2 linked regions of the Kluyveromyces lactis genome follow. The protein of the gene in region 2 interacts with the protein of the main gene of each other region in a pairwise test. Links are inferred from orthologs where the notes say so. Each region holds a gene or a part of one and is shown on either strand. Other genes may lie near its edges.

Evidence for each region. The genes of interacting proteins can lie anywhere in the genome.
Region 1: the proteins of VPS45 (region 2) and PEP7 interact in binary tests that used the Saccharomyces cerevisiae proteins (3 or more experiments, as listed by UniProt). The link is inferred for Kluyveromyces lactis from reciprocal best matches to the Saccharomyces cerevisiae genes VPS45 and PEP7.

The regions. Positions count from the first base shown.
Region 1 is NC_006040.1:1,128,055-1,131,437, forward strand, and holds PEP7 (phosphatidylinositol-3-phosphate binding protein), read right to left. Parts: upstream 2,076-3,383; coding exon 501-2,075; downstream 1-500. Other genes in the region: NMD2 (Nmd2p), read right to left, coding at 1-129, 213-218; KLLA0_D13200g (uncharacterized protein), read left to right, coding at 2,278-3,383. UniProt on the Saccharomyces cerevisiae protein: Required for vacuole segregation and vacuole protein sorting. Possibly part of a complex which tethers the vacuole membrane to microtubules, either directly or via kinesin or dynein-like motor proteins.
Region 2 is NC_006041.1:1,671,839-1,675,678, reverse strand, and holds VPS45 (Vps45p), read left to right. Parts: upstream 1-1,604; coding exon 1,605-3,338; downstream 3,339-3,840. Other genes in the region: TCO89 (Tco89p), read right to left, coding at 1-1,247; CTI6 (Cti6p), read right to left, coding at 3,416-3,840. UniProt on the Saccharomyces cerevisiae protein: Essential for vacuolar protein sorting. Function in membrane traffic between the Golgi and the vacuole.

The DNA.
Region 1 (3,383 bases), on a different chromosome or scaffold from region 2:
CTTCAACTTCTTAATGAAACCCGTATTCCTCTTAATACTAGAATCAAGTTTCTTGGCTTTATCAGGGAATACGTCAATCCCGGTCCACGCCATACTGTTAATTTCATTCAAGCTTGATCTCCATTCATTCTAAACACAAATTCAATCCATAAAAGCAAGGCTTTCTGTTAGTATTCTCGAAAACTCTCGACCACTTAAAAGCGTACACATACGTTCATTATGTTATTTGACGATTGGATAGGTTCAAAGTCGGTGCGTAAAGTTCTTGCTGTCGCTGTGACGTGATTTCAACAGAACTTTTGTTCGATGACTTTGGTAGAATTAACATTTCACAGGATTTTTTTTTTATTCAAAGGGCTTTCTCATACTGGCATCTCGACAATAAGTTACAGAGCGAAACGGATAGAGTTTTGGTTGCATTTATATTATCGTGCTTGTGATAGAAGAGTGTTTATATGGTTCAATAGAATATACACCTAATTGAGTGTTAAATAATAATTTTAAAAGCCTTCATCACCTAGCTTACTTTCTAAATGCACTATGTTCTGATCAATTTCTGAAAGATTAGTTTTCAAGGATATCGCTTCCTCGAAGCGCCTTTCCTTGGCAGCTGAATTAAGCATATTTTCGACTAAGTATCGTTGTTCATTCAAAACCATAAGTTCTTCTCTGTACTTCTTTACTTCCGCAATTGTTAAATTATTGAACAAAAGATCCGATGATGTTGTGACTTCTACTTTCTGTGACACAGGGTTCAAGATTTCTGGTATTTTTTTCAAGGGTAGCATTTTCTCCTCGATGAACGCTGATGCATGTAGGGCAATTGACTGTTGTATTTTCTTCTCTGCTGTTGATTTTGTATCCAACTGAACAATGCTTTTTGATAATTTGTCATAAAGCGTTAAATTTTGTAATAGCTTTCTTCTTAATTGTGCTAGGTTTTGAATCGCAGTCTCATCTGAAGCGGGTGCATTATGTATCGAATCTAATGCTTTCTGGAATCTGGGGAGTAAATTTACTACAAGCGTTTCGAGGTTGTGGAGATTTTCGTACTGTTGTAAAATTTCCGGTAGTTTCAATGCCTTACTAAATTGGAGCTTACGCTTTGCAAAGACATACCTCAGACAGGAGGAACAAATTCTAACTCCTGTAGAAAGGTCTGATATTGCTTTTAAGTTCCCGACATTCTCGAAGGAAAGGTCTGGGGCCGCACTCATCAGGTTCAGGACTGGAATATCGCTGGAACATCGAGTTTCTTGTCTATCGCACACGATCTGACCGCATAATCTACAATGATGTTTCCGCATCAAGAGTCCAAACGGCTGAGAGCATATGCCGCATTGGGTTGCCATTTGATCATCCTTCCACTCTACGATTGATCGTTCCAAAGCTATAATTCCTGCTCTGATCCTGAACGTTGCAAAGACCGATGACTGATGTCGTACATGTAATTGAATTATCCCATTTATTAGTCTCAATAGCCTGTTTTCTAGCTGCAAAGTGATAAGTTCTCCATCCTCGTTCTTCAACTTTCTTATCTTAGCGAAAGCTTGTGTTATATTTCTAGTCAGTCCGTAGTCATTGTAACCTTTCCTATTGATATAACACTTGTGACAACATTTACACCATACATTGCTCGCCGGATCGTATTCACCGTTTTCATTCAACTTGATGGCATTTCTACAATGCCTTAAACAGAAAAGTTCGCCGCATTTGCGGCAATTGATCATACCGTTTCTGGCGTTTAACTTACAACCGCACTCAAAACATACCGATTTGCCTTCTACTGGTTTCTTCCAGTGAGATGTATTCATCTTTAATTTCCCCTTACTCTGTCTTTCATGAGTCCTTTCTTGAACCAATGTGTTCAAACCAATGACACTTGACTCTCTTGAGCTATCGACATCGGACGCACTTTCATCGTTAAAACCGTGTACATTGTCCAAGTGGACGTTGAGCTTTCTCAAACTCTTCAACTCATTTCCGCAAACTGGGCAAGTTACGGCCTCGACATTTCTATCATGTTGTCCAGTCGAACTCGCCGAGCCCAACCACCTTCCATTTCCTTCTGTCATTGGGCTTTATAAATAGATATACTACCTCACCATCATAAATCCCATGGAAAGGAACTAGCTTGAATAATCCAACTGTGAGACTTAGTTCCTTCCTCCCCTTAGGAATAAAAGCTTCGAATCGTTAACTTTCGTTTCATGCTTTTCAAATGCAATTAAAGAGAACATTAAGCTTGACGATCTAACAAAACCTTTGCGTAATGGTATGAGACACGTTACATTAGTCTATACAACACTTATTACTACTCCGAACGGATCAACGTGTTTAAGCCAATTGATCCTTGATGATATGTTCATTCTGCTGTTTTGTCTATTAACGTTTTGGTTGGTTTTCGATAGATCATATCATGTACTATGGTTTAAAATCCAGAAGTTATTTGATATTCTACCATCTTCTACATTAACGAACAATGAGTCAGATCCTGCTACTGTGATATCTTTGCCAGATTCAAACAGTAGCTTCTTTCACAAGTTCTATTCCGAGTATTCGTTGTCTTCTAGAAAGGTTTACAATGCAGTACGAGTCATATTTTGTGCTACATTTTCTGCTTACGTTGTAGCAGTTGAAATTGTATTATGGCAGATAAAAGTAGCAGACCCCAATGCCGAGGCTAACTTGGTGACGTCAATTATATGGCCAGGCTTGTTAGCTTTATTGTTCATCTCATTGATTTTGATACAACCTTTCCTGATACTGGTGTTCTTGTTGACGAAATTCTTCGAAGACAAGGTCAGCATGCACAAATTAGTGCCGGTAACCATTGGCATTACTATTCTATGGCTAACTTTCTTGCATTTCCTTACCATTGGACCGTTTGGCTACACATATAATCTATTGACTAAGGCATCAGTGATCGGTGTGACTGTAATGGGAATTTTGTCCGGATTGGCATCAGTCTCCACACCGTATTATGCCTATCAATATTTTAGACATCGGAACAAAAGAGATACAAAATACACTATACATAACAATGTTGATCTGTTGTGGTCTAGTGAGTCTGTGATACGGGATCGAATCAGGAATTATGAAGAATGTATTGAGAAAGATACCTCGTTGTTGTGTAGGCTCACTTCTTCCTCAAACCAAGCTGACATCATGACCACAGTACAACTGAGAGAACGAATTGCATGGTATCAACTTGAACTGGTGAAATTAAGCGGTATCTTGCAGGGTCCAAAAGAGCTTAGGAGTTTAAAGCGGATGTTTCAGGTGATTTTTTTGGTTTACTGTGTTTATAAATTGACTGACGTGTGGCTTGTAAAAGTGCCTAAAATTATAGTACACTCATTTAAGTTTCCAACAGATTTTAG
Region 2 (3,840 bases):
TTATTTTCGGCTGGGTCGAGCCATGCTAACGAACTCTGACGAGATAATTGATCAAATCTTCTTTCCATTCCGGTAGACTGAGATAGAATCATATCAGGAACGTATTGTTCCGTTCCTTGTGTTTCAGAGTCGATATTAGAACCATTCAGAGCAGTGTTGTTGCTATCAGGAATCATATTGCCATTCTTACTGGAGGAGGAACTGTCATTACTATGGGGATCCTCAGGAAACTGTTCATCAGTTACAGCGCCAGCTTTTGCGAATGAATATCGCTTAGGATCATCACTACCAATATCCTCATTTGCTTTTTCGTTTGTTGCTGTATGTGTAATTCCGTCAATAATATCTTCTTCAGTATAACGACGCACTCCTTCATCGACGGCAGTGTTCGCTGCTATAATATCCTCATGCTCCGTAGTTTCCACATTATAAGATTTCTGCAGATTACCGTTTCCATTATTGAAATCAAACATATGTTGCCTGTGGCGTCTTAGACTATTCGTGTTCGATATAGTGTCCTGATTGCCAGGGTCAATAAGGTCATCTTCCCTGTCAGGAGCGTCAATTTTGTCATTATCCATTGGGCTCACAGCTCTTGATGAAATATGATCATCATCTGCATCAACTCTGTTTCTAAGCCGTGACGGTGGTTTATAGCTCAATGGCCTTTGTAGAGGTCTACCAGAATCCACTCTTAACCCAGCTCTGTCCTGAAAATCATTGATGCTATGCATCGAGTTCCTCTGAGTTGTTGAATTTTTGCCCGTTCCATTTATTGTCTCATCATCTGATGCATCATCTCCTTCTATATCGGTGAAAGACTCTACCTCTTCATCAGTCATAGAATCGTTATCCCCAGAATCGTGAAGATCTAGGATGACGGACTTGGAGTTCCTATCACTAATTAGGCCCTTATGCTTCATGCTGTGACTATTCTGGTGTAGCACAACTGGATGAGATGATGTTCTTACCAATGCCGTCATACTGAGACCACTGTGTACCGTGCGTCTGTTCAATGAGTCCGAACTCTTCGATTTCTTCATAGGATCGAAAAGTCCTCTATTCAATGCATCGTGGCTTCCTACCTTGTGTAATTTCTGTAAGTTCTTGAAACTGGTGTTGCTCTTGCTCCTAGATTTTGCAGAGAACTGTTTAGGTTTTCCATGTCCTTTCTTCTGCTTCATATACTGTGATAGACTGGTATCTGAATTAGTCTTCACAGGCTTCACACGGGAAATTGTGGCCATTGTTGTAAAGAATAGCCAGTAGCCTCAACTTAAGAATTATTACCTTGACTGTACAGAATTGTGGAAAAATTGCTATTTCCCACCTAAATGTAAAGTTTGGAATCACAGGCTATAGCAAGATTGTTGTTCCTGTGTTTGTTTGTAGTTAAACAAAGATGGATTGATGTGTGCCAGAATCTTAGTTTCAACTCTTTTTGAAAATAAGTATTAAAGGAGAAATGACCTTAAACTTTTGCATGGAACAAAGTAGCAGTGAGAAACGGTAGATTAAGGCTGCTGTAGCGCGTGCCAACGGTGAATCAGCAATTAAGATATCCAAGTTCTTTTGAAATTGAGAGGATAGAGCACTTTTTCGTAATGAATTTGTTTACGGTTGGTGATTATTATATCAGCAGAATCGCAAATTTCCAGTCCAAACCGTCGGACACCTCGATACAGGAGAAGTCGAGAGTAAAGGCATTGATTTTGGATAATGACACACTCTCTACGATATCGATGTGTACTACTCAAACCGAGCTATTAAAGCACGAGATTTACTTGGTCGATAAACTTGAGAATATTCACAGAGATCCAATGCCACATTTGAAATGTTTATGCTATTTGAAACCCACTGAGGATACGATTCAAGACCTATTACACGAATTACAGGATCCCAAGTATGGCGAATACCAGATTTTCTTCAATAACCAGGTGAGTAAGTCCCAGTTGGAACGGTTAGCCGAAAGAGATGATATGGAGGTTGTCACACATGTAGAAGAAGTTTTCCAAGACTACCTAATTGTGAACGAGGATGTCTTCACTTTAGAGATCCCGTTGTACAATCTTCTCCAAAATCAATTGGTATGGGATCCAAAGGGATTGCAGGAGACGTCTAACGGGTTAATCTCATTGCTACTATCGTTAAAACTAAATCCGACAATTGCGTATGACTCGGATAGCAAATTGTGTCAAAAGTTAGCTAAGGATTTAGAGTATGAAATTAAGACAAATGAAAGGCAGTTATTTGATTTTCCCGTCAGAGATTCGAATCCGTTACTAATTTTACTTGACAGGAAATCGGATCCATTGACACCATTACTTCAACCGTGGACCTATCAATCGATGATAAATGAATATATCGGAATAAAAAGAAACTTGGTAGACCTTTCGAATGTACCAAATATCGATCCCGATTTGAAGCAGGTTGTACTCTCTTCAAAACAAGATAAGTTCTTCAAAGAAACAATGTATATGAATTTTGGTGATTTGGCAGATAAGGTGAAGAACTATGTTACTCAGTATAAAAATAAGACCAACATTACCAAACAAATCAATACGATAGAAGATATTAAAGAGTTCATCGAAAAGTTCCCCGAATTTAAGAAACTCTCAGGCAACATTTCAAAACATATGGCCATTGTTAGTGAATTAGATAGGCAATTACAACTGAAGAATATATGGGAAGTCAGTGAGCTAGAGCAAAACCTCTCTTCACATGATGACAATAACGATGACTTTGTAGAACTGAAGAGAATTCTAAACTTACCAACCTTAGAATCATATTACAAATTAAAATTATGCTGCATTTTTGTTCTACGACACGGCAAGAACGAATCTAGAGTTTCTGAGTTGGAGAATATTCTAAGACAACAGTGTGATCCCACACAAATTTCTCTTTACTTTCAATTTAAACAGAGATTTGGGTCAATATTCAATAAACACAAAGCTCCTCAGGACAATGATTTGATTAGTGGATTAACCAAGAAATTCAACAGATTAGGCAGCACCAGCGCTGAAAATGTGTTTATGCAACATGTTCCTGAATTGACAACACTTCTCAGCGATTTGGATAAAAACAAGTTCCCACAAGAGGGAGTGACTCTTTTAAACCAAAATATTGACCCTAAGACATATATGCCACAAGATGTTGTTATATTGATCGTCGGAGGCCTCACTATAGAAGAAGCGCGCGCAGTACATCAATTCAATGAGAAACAGAGTAAAAATAAGGACAATTGCAGAGTTATCATTGGAGGAACCTCGATTATTTCTACAGAGCAATTTTTAACAGATGTTTGCGCCGTTAATGATAAACCAGTTGACTTATTATGAACTTACGTATGTACTTCAGATGTAGAATTAGGTAAGGAAATGTATGAAACAAGAAAAGAACACTCTCTATCATGCTTTTAAGAAGCTGGACTAAACTTTTGCTCCCAAAGCAGTAATTTCCTCGTTAGCTCATCCATCGTTTTGAAGGATTCGTCGTAACTGGAGAATATTTTATTAATATTTTCCAGGAATTCTTCGTTTTCCACAAACTGGCACAACTGATCCCGTTGACGTTGGTCATTAGATATTTCTAACTGTGTCCTTGAGATAAATTCCAGAATAGCGTTAACTCTTCTTCTCATTTCATGCATAGTGGTCCTCTGAGAGGGAATCCTGGGTTTTAGAGGCTTGTTGATTCCGATATCATTAGATTGTCCATTAGATTTCGACAAGTTTGAACTTCCAGAGGAACCCGATCCTTTTGAGCTGCTAGCTTTAGAATTCCTTGCAACTCTTCCACTTGAGGTCTTGTAAATCCTTGAGTTACTTTGCGTGGTTGAAC